Rattus norvegicus: one gene and its partners. The protein of the gene in region 1 interacts with the protein of each later gene in a biochemical or structural test. Links are inferred from orthologs where the notes say so. Each region holds a gene or a part of one and is shown on either strand. Other genes may lie near its edges.

Region 1 (4,185 bases):
TAGTAAACTGTCCAACTACATAAGCAGATAACCGAGGAATTAAGAATTTGGAGGGCAGGGCTAAAAGTGGGCAGACAGGTAACACACTAGGGCAGGCTCACCCAGGAGCTTGGCAACCCACTCAACTGGAACCAGATACCTGCTGCGCTTACCCACCTGAAACGCAGGAGCCCTTCTCGGCCATTGGTGGCCTCTTCCTCGGGGAAGAGCAGCAAAGGTGTGGGTGGAAGCCTCGTGGAAGCACAGAATTTCTTGAGTGACTCCACCAACTCCACCCGCCTATCCATCTCCATGAAGCCCCGAGACCAACATACAAAGCTGGGGGGACTATTGAGTAGAGGCTGAGAGCAGGGAGAAAAAGCAAAAAGAAAAGAATGGAAGGAAATGTCAAAAATAAAGAAAGAAGAGAAGAAAGAGTAAAAAGGTAACACATAGGGTGGCGTTTATGGGACTCGAGGGAGAAGGCTCGGTATTCCCCAAGCAAACCCCAATGGGTAAAGGTGAGCCTTGAGCTTGGGCCTAGGGAGCCACCCGGTGGCGCTCTCGGCCTCGCCCCCCACTCACGGTGCTACAGGTGGTGAGAAGGTTGACTATGTTGTGGTCAAAAGGTGTTACATGGTTGGAAATAAGGACCCTGACGCGGTGATCCCGGAGTCCGGAGTCCTCCTGTCGGGCCACGAGCCCCAGTACCGCACACATGGTTCGTACCACGAACCTGGGGACAGAGGCGGCGGTGACTGTGCGGTCTTGAGCCAGGCCCAGACCAGATGATCCCCAGGCGCCGCAGTCCGCACCTGCGGAGGACGCTGTCAGGAAGAGCACAGCTGACCAGGAAGACGTGGAGCCCGAGGAAGAGTCGCAGAACCAGGAGGCAGAGGCCGACCGGCGCGTAGAGCAATAGCGCGAGCAGCAGGAAGCCGTCACTCGGGAGCCTGTGGCGAGAGGCGACGCGATCAGGCGCCGAAGCCGACGGGACGCGCTGACCGGTCTCTTCCCTCCGCAGCGCTTACCGGTGCGAGTCAAAGAGCCGCTCCGGCCCCGGAGCTGGGGGAGGTTCCATCGCAGCCGCTTCAGGAAAGTGGGGCCGCTGTCGCCGCCATCTTCGCAGGGCCGCGGGGGCTCCTGGGAAGGCGGAGTCTTTGGGCAGCCGCAGGGACGCTAGAACCCGTGGCCCGGAGGCGCCCCGGAAGGGCTAGCGTTCCCAGCATGCCTCGCGGCACGGGGGAAGTGTATGTGTGTGTGTTTGTGTGGGGGCGTGTGTACGGTCTAGAGAGCGCGTCTTTGAAGGGACTACATTTCCCGGCATACACTGTAAGGATACCGGCATGCCTTGCTTCTCCTAGACGGCTTGCTGGGCTCCAGAAGACCGCCTCTGAGTAGGGCGGGCGTGGAGAGCCGAGGCGGAGCAGATGGCTGCGCTGAAGGCGGGGCGGGGTGCAAACTGGAGCCTTCGGGCATGGCGGGCTTTGGGGGGCATCTTCTGGAGGAAGGGCCCCCTGTTAGCCCCTGACCTCCGGGCTCTGCTGACGTCAGGAACTCCTGACCCTCAGGCCCGGATGACTTATGGGACCCCCAGTCTCCCGGCCCGGGTGCCTTTGGGGGTCCTTGCATCACGGGCAAATCTGACGTCTGGGACCCCGGATCTCTGGGTACGACTGACTGTGGGGACTCCAGGCTCTAGTGACCAGGAGGACTGCGGGAGCCCTGGAAGCCGTCGGCGCGAATGGCTAGCGGTGGCGTTGGGCGCAGGGGGTGCAGTGCTGCTGTTGTTGTGGGGTTGGGGGCGGGGTCCTTCCACGGTGCTGGCTGCTGTTCCTGCTCCGCCACCCACCTCTCCCCGGAGCCAGTACAATTTCATCGCAGACGTGGTGGAGAAGACAGCCCCTGCTGTGGTCTATATCGAGATCCTAGACCGGTAATGGTGAAGTTGACCAGGTGGTGTTGAAACCAAATGCCGGAAAGGCAAGGGAACAGGATAGGGTGGAAGCTGCAGTGTAATCGGTGCTTTCCCCATCCCAGGCACCCTTTCTCCGGCCGTGAAGTCCCCATCTCAAACGGTTCAGGATTCATAGTGGCTTCAGATGGGCTCATCGTAACCAACGCCCACGTGGTGGCTGATCGGCGCCGAGTGCGAGTGAGGCTACCTAGCGGAGACACTTATGAGGCCATGGTCACAGCTGTGGATCCTGTAGCAGACATTGCCACATTAAGGATTCAAACCAAGGTGGGAATGGAGTAGGCCAGATCTGATGGCAGCAGTTTACTTCCTTCCGTCTTAAAATGACCAGTTTTGGTGTACTCATTTCCCTTAAGGAGCCTCTTCCCACACTGCCCCTCGGCCGCTCCGCTGATGTCCGGCAAGGGGAGTTTGTTGTTGCCATGGGAAGTCCCTTCGCTCTGCAGAACACCATCACGTCCGGCATTGTCAGCTCTGCTCAGCGACCAGCCAGGGACCTGGGGCTCCCTCAGACCAACGTGGAATACATTCAGACCGATGCAGCTATTGACGTGCGTCCTGAGAGGAGGGAAATTAGGTGCTAGGTGGGAATTGGGGGCAACAGCTGTCAGGTATGATCACCAGCTGACACCAGCTGACACGTGGTGACTGGGCCTGTAGCAGAGGTTGGTCTGCAAAATGCAGCCACTCTAGTTCATGCTAGGAATGGAATTCGAAGTATTTCCCTAACCCTGTTTATGACCACAGTCTTAAAATTCCCAGAGGCATGGAATTCCAGATCTTTTTGATGTTTTCTTTCATTTTATCTCACAGTTTGGAAATTCTGGTGGTCCCCTGGTTAACCTGGTGAGTGCCCATGTTCTAAGAATGCATGCCCCACAGGTCAGTGTGGGAAGTGTGTGTTATCCTCTGATTCAGGGAGTTTTAGCTAAGTCTCTAGCCTCTTGTTCGTCTCCTCATAGTCAGACAGACCCCTGTCCCCAAATCCTTGCTACTCTTGTTCAGGTGCCCCCATCCTCTGCCATCTGTGTGGGCTAGGGGATGGGGCTGTGTCCCTGCAGGATGGGGAGGTGATTGGAGTGAACACCATGAAGGTGACAGCTGGAATCTCCTTTGCCATCCCTTCTGATCGCCTTAGGGAGTTCCTGCATCGCGGGGAGAAGAAAAGTGAGCCTGTCTTACAGGGAAAGGGATTCCTTTAAAATGGAGGAGGGGACCCAAGGGAGGGGCATTCATCAGGACTTGGTGTAGAGGGGTCTAACTGGTAGGAAGTAAGGGAAAGAATGAAGCTGGTGGGCTCATGTTCTCTTTACAGATTCCTGGTTTGGAATCAGTGGGTCCCAACGCCGCTACATTGGAGTGATGATGCTGACTCTGACCCCCAGGTATACATATATATAGGACCCATGTTCTCAGTGGTGCACCTCTTGGCTTTTGCTCCTATGTTTGTCTTTAATATTAGCTGTTGTCTCTGTCACAGAGCTGCTCCCTCTCATCATAACTTTCTCACCTATGCATCTCGTACCCTTCAGTAGACTGAGTACATCCTGTTATTACCATAATGTAAAGCCTCCATTGCCCTAGCATTGAGGAACGATCTCTCCCACCTCTAGTTATCCTTCTAGACAGCTCATCATTTCCTCAGAGTGACTTTGACTTTCCACTTCTATGTCTCAACTTTATTTCATACAGTTGTAGGGCCCACCCTTCTAGGCTTAGCTTAAGTTCTACCCCTTCCTTACCGTAGAATTTCAGAGTGACAGAAGTGAAGTTGATTCAACACTGTGTATCTTTTGAAATTAGCTGTCTTTTTTTTTTTTTTTTTTTTTTGGTTCTTTTTTTTTTTTTCGGAGCTGGGGACCGAACCCAGGGCCTTGCGCTTCCTAGGTAAGCGCTCTACCACTGAGCTAAATCCCCAGCCCCAGTTAGCTGTCTTTTATGTGTGTATCCTACTTCCTAAGCTCTAGAAGGCAGAAAGTGAACTGTCAAGATGGGAGAGGGCCTGTGTGTTGCTAACAGAGTGGTCTGTACCCTTCCAGCATCCTTGCTGAGCTACAGCTCCGAGAGCCAAGTTTCCCTGATGTTCAGCATGGTGTCCTCATTCATAAAGTTATCCTGGGCTCCCCTGCACACAGGTGATGTGGCGCCTGCTCGGTGGGGTGGGTTGGGTGGGGTGGGGTGGTGTGGATGTATCCTTGAACTCAGCTGTCCACTCCTTCCTTGCCCTG
Region 2 (3,500 bases), on another chromosome or scaffold:
ACATGGGCCCTGTAATCAGACAAACCTAAGTTCAAAGCCTAGCCCTTACACTTAACTTTGTCTGACCTTGGATGAGTTACTTCACCTAAGTCTCACATCTTCATTCTGCTTCAGTGTCATATGACTAAATAGAATCATGTGTATGTATGTGTTGGGTTAAAAGGTTATATGACAGTTAAACAGGTTATATGCTCTAAATAGCACTGAAAACACACACTTTCATAGAGAAACCTCAAAAACAAAACAAGTAAACAAAAAAAGAAACAAAAATACATAATGATTATAGTTTCAAAAATAGAAAAAAAGAAGTAATATATTGGTGAGAAATATAATATATAAAGCTATACAATATGGTGTCCAGGCCTAGTTGCACAGGCCTATGATCCCAATTATTAGAAACCTGAGGCTGAAGGAACCCAAGTTGAAGCTTATACTGGGTATAAGTTCAACTGTAGTCTGGGCAACCTACTGAGATATTGTTTCAAAATAAGAAATACACATGGTAAGGCTGCAGCTCGGGAGTAGAATGCTTGTCTAGCAGGCAGGGGCTCGGAAATAGCAGCAGCAAAATAAGAAAAGTAAAGAATGGGGTACAACGTTCTAAATAATGGATGTCTCCGGGGAGACTTTATTCAAAAATTATTTTAAAAACTGGCACATTTCAAAAGTTACAAAATTTTGTATTAGTTACTTAAATTTTTTTTAAAATTTATTTATTTTCTGTATACGAGTACACTGTAGCTGTCTTCAGACATACCAGATCCCATTACAGATGGTTGTGAGCCACCATGTGGTTGCTGGGATTTGAACTCAGGACCTCTGGAAGAGCAGTCGGCGCTCTTAACCACTGAGCCATCTCTCCAGCCCCTTAAAATTTTTAAATAATATTTAGAAATAAACTTTATGTACTTTTTAACTTTATAAATGTATATGCTCATGAGATTCATCCAGATTTATTAAGAAAGTAAGAACCAGTCTATATGTCTACTGGTCTCATCAGCGTTGAAGCCATTGTAAGTCGTGCTGCATAAACGGACTACACTATGGTGAGTTCAATGGAACTTACAAGCTCACTTACCACTCTGGTAGTACTTGGAGTCATGTGTCCATCTGAAGCCAGTGCACAAGCCAAAGTCAGTCAATTTAATATGTCCATCTCGGTCAATCAAAATGTTATCAGGTTTAATGTCTCTATGAATAAAACCCATTTTATGAACACTTTCAACTGCACAGGTAAGTTCTGCTATGTAGAATCGTGCCAGGTTTTCGGGAAAGATGCCCATTCTAATTAACAGGCTCATCATATCACCCCCAGGAATGTAGTCCATCACAAAGTACAAGTTGTCCTTGTCCTGGAATGAGTAGTACAAGCGGACCACCCACTCGTTGTCAGCTTCTGCTAGGATATCTCGCTCAGCTTTCACATGAGCCACCTGATTTCGGAGCAGAACGTCTTTCTTTCGTAGAGTTTTTGTTGCATACAAAGCTTTCGTATCGACTTTTCTTGCTAGACAGACTTCACCAAATGCTCCTATTCCTAATGTCTTTATCTTTACAAACATAGACTTGTCCATTTTAGCCCTTTTAAGACGAATATAGTTAGACTCTTTCTGGCAAAGCATCTTTCTCATTTGATCCTGGGCATCTTGAGATAATCCAACCTAGGTAAATAAACTAGAGGTTAAATAAGGAATTGTATTAAATAGTAAGACACGGCTTAAAAAATAATTCAGGCATATTTTTGAAAGTTAAATGCATAATTTTTAATAAAGCATGTTAGAATTCTAGACTGTATTTCAGAGAAAAATTAATGATCAAGTCAAGCTTAAGAGATAGTAAACAATACACAAAGTGAGTATATATGCAAATCCAGCTGTGGGGAGCAACAAGAGGACATCAACAGTCAGGCTTCTACTCCTCTCTAAAGCACTCAAGGAATAGCTTCGAATGCACAATAAAACCAGTGTCTGTGAACACACATTCTCAGTTCTCGTCATGCACATCTCCAGACTACAGGGTCAGACACCTTCACTAAATCTTTTTTTGTAGAATGGCTAGGCCTCAAATATTTTCCCCTTGATTTTCTTTCACAGAAAGAATTCTTTCACTCTAGGTTCAATCATTCTTTAAAACAGGAAGGAAGGAGGGAGGAAGGAGGGAGGGAGGAAGGAGGGAGGGAGGGAGGAAGGGTGGCCTCAGCTGGTAAAGGCACCTCTGGCCAAGTCTGACTCTCTCCGTTAATCTAGGACCACATGGTGGGCAGAAGCAACCAACTCCTTCATGTTGTCCTCTGAACTCTACATGTTCTCTGAGCTAAAAAAATAAATAAAAGTCATGGTAATCTTCTTTTTCTTTCTTAGGATATCAGCATAAAGGTGAGACCCAGTCCACCTCTAACAAAGTACAAAAGGGATAACGTGCTTATCCTTTAGATATTCTGAAGTAGTTTTTAAAGTTCTTGTGAATAAGGGCACTATCACAATGGATGAACACAAAGGTCAGTTGTAAGCAGTGGACTTAGATGGCCTGTAGGGGTTCTTAGCTCAGGAAGAATTTACTAACGTTGAAAAGGACAAGACTTAGAAAAGTAGAGTCTAATTTTAGAAATGCAAGACTAATTTCAATACAGCAACCTCATGCTTCTGTTAGGATGTGCATTTGCATGCAATGTTTTTTCAGAGTGGTAGCATGCCAGACTTAGTACAGAACTCTTTCTCTTAAAATCTTACTTGCCTACACAGTAATGGAGGCTACAGAAGTCAGCAAAGCTTCCAACACCATGAAAGTTTAAGTCAGCTATTAGTGAAAGTGAAGAGGAAAAAGGAAAAATAAACTAAGAAAAATAGACAGACTTAAGTAAGAAATTCTAAGAACAATATGAATAAGAGAATTTGGGGTATTTCTCATTTAACATAATTATTTATAGTAAGAAAACAGTGTACTGAACTATAAAGTGAGATTTGAGAAGAAGCGTAATCTTCTCACACTTTGAGCAGTAGATGTCAAACAAGGGAGGAGTCAAAGCTTGGCGTTCTGAGCATAAGACAACACCATGATGGTGATAGTCCTACCCGGGAGCACAGCGAGCCCCGTCTCCTCCACACACCCAGCATTTCAGCACATTTTCCTCAAATATTAGAAGAGGAAAGTAACGGTAAAGCAATGGTTCTGACATTTCTTTTTACTTCTGTTTTTAGCTTTTTTCTTTGTGTGTGTGTGTGGGGGGGGGGGGCATGTGCTTTGCTGTATAGATGTGGGAACTAACAATGCAGACTGCTGGCCTCCGCCTCCTGAGTGCTGAGATTAAACGTGGGAGTCACCATGCCCAGTGATTTTAACACTTTCTAACAACGTGTATGTAAGGAATAAACATCAGATTCTCAACCAAATGACAATGCTTTCTATATGTATCAAGAGGTAACTCAGATATTTCTATCTGACTTGTGTATGTTGTAAAATAATGTATAAAATCTAGAACCTGTTGGATATTGGTAGCATAT
Region 3 (2,369 bases), on another chromosome or scaffold:
TTGGAAGAGGGGTGCTAGTTGCTGCACAAGGTACTGACTTTTGGACTGAGGAAGAGACAGCTGGGGCTGAGAAGAAACCACCGCGGGAGTCTGAGGAAAAGCCTGCACAATTTGTGCCTGGAGCTGGGCTGGAGACTGAGGAAGGTGCAGATTAGCAAGATCAAGACTGGGGATTTGAGAGTTAAAGAGGCGGAGCACGGTTTCAGAGTTAAGGAAGGGCATCTGTTTGTGCTTGGGAAGGACAGTGGCTTTAGCTTTAAGGAAGGATTCCAGTTCAGGAGAAATGATAGGCCCAACAGTTGGCACCACAGGGGGTTGAGCAATAGGCTGGATGTTTTGTGGAATGGGACTGCAAGAGATGGTCTGGGCATATGGAATGGCCTGGGGTTCTGACTGAATGCCGGAGTGAAATTTATTCTGGAGCACATCCTAGAAACAAAAGAACCTTTAGTCCACAATTTAGCAAAGTCGACATTCTTGATTAATTAATAATCTTTTACCCAATAATAAGCAACAGAATGAACAACCTCAAAAATCTTCATTTGCTTAAAAATCTACTTGGCCTAGATGAATACAGTGTCTAATGGCTCTAAATCTAGCAAGTTGAAGCCTGATGCAGGAGAATTGCTAATACTTTGAGACCAACCTGAGATAAAAAGTAAATTCTAGGCAATCCTGGAGTACACAGTAAGGCTTTTCATTTTAAGATACACAACATAAGAAAGCATTGTCTAGGGTCACATGAAGAAAATGAGTAAAGTGTTCTTAAGGGTTTTCTCCTAATCTATTCTACTCATGGATGAATTAAATAGTCCAAAATAAAACTGATGTTCAGGATTTCTCAAAATCTTTTCACTTTATCCCAAGCCACTTCTACATCTGTAGCTATTCATTTTGATATGAGAGGGTAGTGATTTCTCAAACCCTGTGGGATGATAATAGAACAAACTGTTTTTTATAATTGAAGGGAAATTAATTTTAAAAGGTTTAGTGGGATATCACTTTTTAAATTTTTATTTTGATCTAAAAGAATATGGTGTGAGCAGCAAGCAATTTACTTGGGAAAAAAATGAGTTAAACTATTTGATTCCATTATACCCCATTGGGTATATGACTAAAAGTGTGGTATGTTAATGGAATGTGATGCTATTTGGATAACCATTCATTTGAAGGCTTGCTCTGTTACTTTATGTCCCAGACTAAGCAGTGTAGCATTCAGTTGCTACACATATCTCACTGATCTTTTTTTGGACTAAAAATACCCTTAAGACCAGATAAACAAAAAATATAAATGCTATCATGAAGCAAAATCTGCATAAAAACCATTGACTCTACTGAAAGTCAGTTAACTACATGTATGAGAAATTCTTAAGAACGTTTTGGGCCTAGGAGTGAAGTACCTATACTACAAAGAGACTAATCAGCAAGAGTCTCCATTTGGCAGGTGGTCAGTTCAGTGCCACATTGGCAAAGGCTTGTGTTCATTATCAAGAGCAGATAACACCACTAGTAACTGCAGTCATGATGGAGAAAAGGTATTGATGGCCACACGCACTTTCTAGACAAGAATTCTTGATGGACAGTTTACCTCGGACTGCACCTGTCCCATGAGTTTCACCTTCTGAAGTTTCTGCCAGAAATAAACAATACGTGAAAATCTCAAACCTTTCATCTTCAAAAACAAAGTGTGGAAATAAAATGTAATGGGAAATAAAATACCTCATTGATATGTTCAACGGATTCCTTCAAGAAAGAAAGAAAAAAAACCATGTCATTTAGTTTTAGTGAATGGGCAATATTTTTCAATTCACATTGAAAATTAAGAAATTTAGTAAGTTATTGTGGCAGGTTATGAATGGGAAAAATTGATGAAACTTATATTTAAATTATTTAAAACATATTGTATAAACCTCTTTTATATAAGAATAGTGAGCACAGTCAAGACAGAAAAATAAATGAGCATGGTATACAAAGAGATATCCAAAGAATGCTAACTCCCTCTTCAACCGTGGTTCTTTCTCTACATAAGATCTTTAAATTCCATTCCTAAAACAAAACACACAAACATAGCTGAAAATACAGACTAATGACAATATACTGTAGTAATCACTCCGAGTTTACTAGCTAATATGCTAAGCTTCAAATGAACCATGAAAAATGAATACTTCCTCTGAGGCATTTGCAGCATTGCTAAGAGAAAATAATAAACAAATGCTAAGCTTTCGAAGTAAAGACACCTATGTGATACTCTCAGGAAAATTTAGGACTAAATCCTATCCTGTTGAGTCTTATTTACATAAATGACAACTTTAATAGCCAAGTATGTCCTTCTCCAAACCAGCCTACTAACTATAGAGTAAGCCTGTCAT
Region 4 (3,500 bases), on another chromosome or scaffold:
ACGCTCACATGCTGCAAGCTTAACCTTCCACAATGATGCTCAGAGGAAAGGCTTTGGGAAAGAGTCAAGTGTTAGTGGACAATGCTTTGGTACCAGAGAACATGTATTGTTTCTAATGTCATAGCATAATGCATCACGGGTTTGTGAGGATGTTGGTATGAATCAACCTCCTAAGCTGCTAGTTATATGAAAGCATAACATATAGTTAATAAAACTTGATAAGAGGCCACAACAAGTGGTTGGGACACATGCCATCTATGTTTGTGTAAGTATAAGTGATGACGTTCATTCAATGATGAGATTATGTAACAACCCATGTCTCAACACATATATTCATTGTTAAGCAATGCATGAATACAATTAGGTTTGATCAAGTCATAAGCATGAGAACTCTTGGGGGAATTTTTAGCATGAAATACACACTACTTTGGGAAGTCAACTATCTGCAGGGGATCTACTTTTGGACTTTCCCAGTTCTGTGGAATTTTCTTATAGTAGCCTGAGGAAGCAGCATTAAGGGCACATGTACAAATACCCTTCTATGTTGAATATATGTCAAAATAGACATTTACTATGGCCAAAAAGAGAGAAGATGGGACTTAAGATGACAAAAAAGTTGCTTATTATTGAAGCGAACCCATTCTTCTTTCCACTTCTGTTTGTGTTTCAAGTTTACCATAATAAAAGAGTCAAAGTGTTAATGCCATGGGGATATTAGAGAGGAAATGAATGGGCTGCAAGGTGATTTTCCCGACAGAAACAAGCAATGTATACCTTTCTGCAATGAAGTCTGACTTGACTCATCCTGCGAATTATCTTTCTGAGCACTCACAAGATCTGCAATCAGAACCTCAAGTGATAGATAGTTGCTCCCAGATGTTTGGAGCTTTTCTTCCATTGTTTTCTTGATGTCCTTGAAGTTGAATCCCATTCGTATAGCTTCTTGCACCATAGGATTCTGGAAGATGGTATCATCTGAAATCAAAGTTGGGTGGAGAAAGAACATAATACAAGTATTTTCATTAACATGACTGAACAGTAAAACAGTTAAGGGACTTAAGATAGCTGAAGAGTTCAGTGGTAGTGTTTGCCTACTATATGTGGTGTTGTGGTTTTGATCCCCAAAGTTAAGAAGAAAAGCGGTGGTGCACGCCATTATTCCCAGCACTCAGGAGGCAGGGACAGGCAGATCTTTGAGTTCTAGCCTTGCCTGGTCTACAGAGAAAGTTCAAATACATCCAGGAAACCCTGTCTTGAGAAACCACAAAAAGTATGCTAGGGAAAATTCTTTCTTTAACTTTGTTATTTATGCCTGTTACCAAATCCATTCCAAATAATTCAACATAGCCCCGCATTTCGAGCATATTTATAAATACCTGTAGTATTCTCCTGCTTTCTAATCCTTGACACACAAAACAGATGATGTTACAACATTAGGGAACAGGGACTCATCAGATACTCTAAATTAAGCTTTCTTTGAAACATACCACTTCAATTGAAAAAGCAGATCTTAAAAACAATCAACAAACCCCACAAAAGACAAATAAATCGAAACTCCAAAAGAACTCCAGTGTCAGGTGTTATGGTGTACACCTTTAATTTTAACACTCTGAAGGCAGAGGCAGGAAGGTATTTGGGAATTTGAGACCAGCCTGATCTTCAAAGTGAGTTCTAGGACAGTTGAGATACAATGAAACACTTTGTTCCACACCACTACCACCAAAACACCATACATAACCCCACTAAAAATTACATCTACAATATGCTATGTGATTTAGAAGACCTTGTTTATAATGCTAGTTCTATTACTAATTTATAATAGTATATACCTTTAATTGGGAGACAGAGGCAGGCAGATCTCTGTGAGTTTGAGGCTAGCCTGGTGTATAAAGCAAATTCATTATAGCCAGAGTACACAGAGAAACCCTATCTCTAAAAACAAAACAAAACGAAACAAAACAAAATGATAACACGGCAGTAGGCAGATCACATCACCTCTTTGTTTCTTCAAGGGAACTGTAGGAACACTACTGAGGCTGCAGCTCAGAGTACTTGGCATTCACTGGGCTCGGCTGCCAGCACACTATCAGCTTTAGCTGTATATGGGGGTACACTCCCTCAATCCCAGCACTTAAGAGACTGAGGCAGAAAGAGAGAGGTCCAGGCCAGTCCGGCCTACACAGTAGATAGACTACTGAGATGGCTCAGAGGCTAAGAACACTTGCTCTCCCAGAGGACCTGAATTCAGTTCCCAGCACTCACATGGTGGCTCACAACCACCTTTAACTTCAGTTCCAGGGGATCTGATACCTCTCCTGGCTTCTGGGGCAACTAGGCACACATATATGAAGGCTAAACACCCATACATATAAAATAAATAAATGAATGAAAAATTAAAATCTAAACTTTTAATACCTTTGTTGCTTTAATACATTTTCCTCCCTCCGTTCCTTCCTTTCTTAAAACCATGCCATGCAACCCAGACTGACCACAGGTTCCGGATTCTCCTGCTTCAACATCCTCAGTGCTCGGATTATAGATTTGCACCATAGCACCTGGCTTTCTTTTTTTTTTTTTTTTTTTTTTTTTTTTCTTCTTTTTTTGGTTCTTTTTTTCGGAGCTGGGGACCGAACCCAGGGCCTTGCGCTTCCTAGGCAAGCGCTCTAGCACCTGGCTTTCTATTAATGTACTCACTACAAAAATGTCTGGTATAAAATTATAAGCACTTAATTAAATTCTTAAATTTATAGCAGCCTCATTAAACAAACTATAATAAACTGGCCACAAAACTAAACAGATTTTTAATAAACATATTTACCGATTTTTTTAGTTACTGATGGTGTTTTTTCAGCAGTTCTTACCTAAAATAGAAACATGAATGGTAAGATTTCACTTTAGCAAAAAGCAATTATCTCAATTTGAAAAGTTAATAAACATAAAACAAATTGGCTTTATTCTAATTCGAAACATGCCTATCCATAAGAGCCCAGCCAACAGAATGGAAGGAAGGCAAGACTATCTAATCATCGCCCCTTTACAAACAAGAAGCCAAGGGCCAATGAGATCAAATGACTCCCCGGAGGGAAACAAATACAAACTCAACTAGAAACTAATGGTAGAACCATCATGTCAGTTCTAGACTCCCATCACAGTCCAAGGTTCTTCTCAGTTTACTAATGCTATGATTGCCACTGTCCTATATGTCAATTCAGACATATTATTAAATTTTTTTGTCTTATCAGAGATTGAATCCAGGGGCTTGTTTATGCTAGCCAGAAAAAGTAAAACCCATGTATATCCCTGTCCTTATTTTTGTAATCTTAAGTATTATCCGCTAAAGGGTTACTAAAGAGATGGTTTAGCAGTTAAGAACACCTGTTGCTCTCCTAGAAGACCAGAGTTCAGTTCCCAGAATTCATACTGGGCAGCTTATAACTGCCTGTAATTTTAATACCAAATCATGCCCTTTTATGGCTTCCTCAGGTACAACACATGGTGTG
Region 5 (3,500 bases), on another chromosome or scaffold:
TCCTTTGGAACTCTGGCTCCTAGCTGCCTGGGAGGCTTGAAGCTGAGCACTTCCTTATACGTAACACCTGCAGGAAAGGAAGAGAAGCAAATGATACAGTTAGACAGCTTCCAACCAAGGGGAGAAGCCAGCACCCCCATGGGCTTTTTAATCTAATCCTAAATGGACCAATCCACCTAAAAACACTAAAGACTGCTGTGAAGCTAGATTTCCCCAGGCAAACAAGTGATGAAGGCTGATGTTCAAAAAATAAAATAAGGGGTTGGGGATTTAGCTCAGTGGTAGAGCGCTTGCCTAGCAAGCACAAGGCCCTGGGTTTGGTCCCCAGCTCCGAAAAAAAATAAATAAAATAAAGTAAAAGGTTTGTGTTGAGAGAGAGAGAGAGAGAGAGAGAGAGAGAGAGAGAGAGAGAGAGGTAGGTCTGTATTTAAAAAAAAAGGAAGCGAGAAAAGAAAGTGTGAGCTATGAGCTATTCGAGGTCTCAGTTGTGTGTCTGTGTGGTCTATGGTGAAAGCAACAGCATCCAGCCACAGCGAGTAGATGGAGACCACAGAACGGATCTTGTGGTACGTGGTTAAGGGAGTCATTTTGTTTAGCAGCAGAAGGGTTTCGTCACACAGAACCAAGCTCATCAGTACACAACACTTAAGGGACGAACACCTGCCAGGGCTTTTAGAACATGATACGAGAGAACCTCAACCCACCCAGTCTTTCCCACTCCAGGGTGCAAGAACAGGGCCTGGGGTCTGAGGCAGACAGGACAAGGGATGGGGATAGCATGTCCCCAGACCTCCCTACTCCCTACTGGCAGGTTGGACCTGCCAGTCTGGAGCAGACACCAGAGGCTAGTTCCAGCCCACGGAACAGTAGGCAAACTGAGAAGGCTTCTCTGGGGCCAGTTCTCAAAGAGAAGATGCTCTTCCCAGAACCTGGAGGTTCGGCACATAGATGTGGAGGGATCTGGGGCTGGAGGTGAGAAGGAAAAGTTGGGCCCTTGGGCCTGCGTGGGAATATACTGTCTTCCATGGGCAGAACATAAGAAAGATATAGTTGGGGTTGGGGATTTGGCTCAGTGGCAGAGCGCTTGCTTAGGAAGCGCAAGGCCCTGGGTTTGGTCCCCAGCTCCGAAAAAAAGAAACAAAAAAAAAAAAAAAAAAAGAAAGATATAGTTGTTTCAGGAGAGGTTCTGAAAAGGACTAAGGAGAGGAAAGGATAAATTTTAAAGGTGTGAGAAGAAAGTCCTAAGGACAGGTGGTGGTAGAGAAGGCCTCAGTGTGGTCTAGACATGAGGACACTGGGCAGTGTAGGGGTTGGGGAGAGAAAGGCCAGGGAATTAGCAAGCCAAGGGCGCGAAGCACACACAGATGCACCACGTCTGATGGCATGGGACCCATCACATGCCAGCCTTCGTCAGAGCTCCTGAAAAGGACACTCTTCACCACTGCGTTCTGCCCTAGCCAGAAGTCAACCTGGTTGAGTTGCACTGCCCCACAATGCCCTTTGACCTCCCAACTTCTTATCTAACCTGCAACCCAGGGTCGGAGGCTCATCCACACAGGACGCACAGGGTCCAAAGCCTGACATTATGTGTCACCCATACTCACGCTTCCATTCCTCAAGGGTGCGGTCTACGTCATCAAAGGAGTCATCATATTTCTGGGCCTTGGGCTCATCCTCAGTGTCCCGAAGGGACTCAAAGTATGGGTGGGCTAATGCCTCAGCTGCTGTCACCCGCTGTTCCGCATCCAACACCAGCATCTTTTCCAGGAGATTCACGGCTGTGGGGAGAGCAAATCAGGCCCAGCCACAAAAGAGGGCATACTCACCCAGTTGCCTGAAACCTTCACCCATCCAGCCCTACCCTGAGGGCTTGCATTGGTCAGGACAGAAGCAAAATCCTTCTTTTCCAACTCAGGGAGGCCTTCCATGTAGTTCTTGGCCTGTGAGGGAAAAAGGGTGATAGGCCAGCCTCTAAGTCCAAGTCCAGCCCATTGCCCACTCCCCACTGACCTCAGCACTCTGTAGCTTCTGTACAAACTCAGGAGGGGGTGTCCCTGTGACTTTCATGATCTCCTTCAGCTGGTCCAGGTCTGTATCAAGGTCAGGAATACAATGCAGGGGCAGAGGGTGGCCCACCCAGAACCCACATCATGGCCAAAGTCAAATGATGTTCTACATCGAAGGATACGGTCATTGCCTTTGAACAGGATCTTTCCAGTAATCATCTCTGCCATGATGCAGCCAACAGACCAAATGTCCACTGAGAAACGTCCATCGGTGCCCCACACACAAGGGTCACATTCACATTCATGAAGGCCAAGAAAAGGGGACACACAAGAAACCACACATAGGAGACAAGTATACGTGACAGGGAGGCAGGTGTGTACATAGGCACAGAGCAGAGACTGTCATTGAGGAGGGTGACAGAGTTCCACCCCAGTTCACTAACCTCCCAGAGGTAGGGCCTACAAATGACTCCCTATCAAGAAATGAAGGGAGCTAGAAGTGGCTAATCAGTTAAGAGCGAGGGATGCTATTCCAGAAGACCTTGGTTTGGTTTTCAGCACCTACGTGATAGCTCACGGCCATCTGTGACTCCAGTGCTAGAGAACCCAGTGCCTTCTTCTGGTGTCTGTGGGCACCAAGTACACAGGTGATGGACACGTGCACATAAGTACTTACACACATAAAATAATGAAATAGGTTCTTATAAAAATTAAGAATGCGCAAGGCCCTGGGTTCGGTCCCTAGCTCCGAAAAAAAGAAAAAAAAAATAAGAATGGGTTGGACATGGTAATACAGCCTTTAATCCCCAGGTTGTAACAGACAAAAGCAGGTCGATCTCTGTGGATTCAAGACCAGCCTGGTCTACCTAGTGAGTTCCAAGCCAGCCAGGACTACAAAAGGTCTAGAAAGCAAGCAAGCAAGCAAGCAAGCAAGCAAGCAAGAAGAAGCAGAGCCAAGTGGATCTCTGTGAGTTCAAGGCCAGCCTAGTCTACATAGTGAGTTCCAAAAATAACCAGAGCTACATAGTAAGACCCTGTCTTCAAAACAACCAAACTGAATATATATACGTACACACACATTTTTCTCAACAAATAATAAAAATGGAGAAAGGAGGGGAGAGAGAGAAGGAAGGAAGGAAGGAAGGAAGGAAGGAAGGAAGGAAGGAAGGAAGGAAGGCAGGCAGGCTGGCTGAGATGTAGCTCAATGACAGGGCACTTGACTAGCATGAATAAGACTGGATTCCATCGCCAATACTACAAAAATAATTTAAAAATAAAACGAATGTGTAAATGTGGGTGGCATGCACTGGAGTCTCTGAATAGCCTCTTACCTGTCTGTGTGTAACGCATCCAATTCAAGATGACCTCTGGTGCCCGATACCACCGGGTTACCACATATCCTGTCATCTCACTGTCCGCCTGCCTGGCAAGGCCAAAATCTAGGATCTAAAGAAGTATCAGGGAGGTGGAACTTAGACACCGAGGATAGACCAC

The links.
Region 2: the proteins of Htra2 (region 1) and Lats1 form a complex in vitro, tested with the Homo sapiens proteins (2 studies listed by BioGRID, with this or other methods). The link is inferred for Rattus norvegicus from reciprocal best matches to the Homo sapiens genes HTRA2 and LATS1.
Region 3: of the proteins of Htra2 (region 1) and Csn2, one has a biochemical effect on the other in vitro, tested with the Homo sapiens proteins (2 studies listed by BioGRID). The link is inferred for Rattus norvegicus from reciprocal best matches to the Homo sapiens genes HTRA2 and CSN2.
Region 4: the proteins of Htra2 (region 1) and Xiap form a complex in vitro, tested with the Homo sapiens proteins (10 studies listed by BioGRID and IntAct, with this or other methods). The link is inferred for Rattus norvegicus from reciprocal best matches to the Homo sapiens genes HTRA2 and XIAP.
Region 5: of the proteins of Htra2 (region 1) and Mapk12, one has a biochemical effect on the other in vitro, tested with the Homo sapiens proteins (2 studies listed by BioGRID and IntAct, with this or other methods). The link is inferred for Rattus norvegicus from reciprocal best matches to the Homo sapiens genes HTRA2 and MAPK12.

The regions. Positions count from the first base shown.
Region 1 is NC_086022.1:117,114,994-117,119,178, reverse strand, and holds the start of Htra2 (serine protease HTRA2, mitochondrial), read left to right. Parts: upstream 1-1,385; 5' UTR 1,386-1,409; coding exon 1,410-1,915; intron 1,916-2,019; coding exon 2,020-2,224; intron 2,225-2,313; coding exon 2,314-2,508; intron 2,509-2,770; coding exon 2,771-2,803; intron 2,804-2,962; exon of another isoform or gene 2,963-3,018; coding exon 3,019-3,124; intron 3,125-3,272; coding exon 3,273-3,342; intron 3,343-3,996; coding exon 3,997-4,092; exon of another isoform or gene 4,093-4,098; intron 4,099-4,185. Other genes in the region: lipid droplet-regulating VLDL assembly factor AUP1, read right to left, coding at 157-341, 565-715, 795-932, 1,011-1,060.
Region 2 is NC_086019.1:4,001,301-4,004,800, reverse strand, and holds part of Lats1 (serine/threonine-protein kinase LATS1), read right to left. Parts: intron 2,797-3,500; coding exon of another isoform or gene 2,788-2,796; exon of another isoform or gene 2,734-2,787; intron 1,662-2,733; coding exon 1,079-1,661; intron 1-1,078. UniProt on the Homo sapiens protein: Negative regulator of YAP1 in the Hippo signaling pathway that plays a pivotal role in organ size control and tumor suppression by restricting proliferation and promoting apoptosis.
Region 3 is NC_086032.1:20,604,824-20,607,192, reverse strand, and holds part of Csn2 (beta-casein precursor), read right to left. Parts: intron 1,744-2,369; coding exon 1,720-1,743; intron 1,631-1,719; coding exon 1,589-1,630; intron 430-1,588; coding exon 1-429. UniProt on the Homo sapiens protein: Important role in determination of the surface properties of the casein micelles.
Region 4 is NC_086039.1:125,791,006-125,794,505, reverse strand, and holds part of Xiap (E3 ubiquitin-protein ligase XIAP), read right to left. Parts: intron 2,862-3,500; coding exon 2,819-2,861; intron 976-2,818; coding exon 775-975; intron 1-774.
Region 5 is NC_086025.1:122,086,308-122,089,807, forward strand, and holds part of Mapk12 (mitogen-activated protein kinase 12), read right to left. Parts: intron 3,453-3,500; coding exon 3,338-3,452; intron 2,261-3,337; coding exon 2,189-2,260; intron 2,091-2,188; coding exon 2,011-2,090; intron 1,941-2,010; coding exon 1,862-1,940; intron 1,779-1,861; coding exon 1,605-1,778; intron 68-1,604; coding exon 1-67. UniProt on the Homo sapiens protein: Serine/threonine kinase which acts as an essential component of the MAP kinase signal transduction pathway.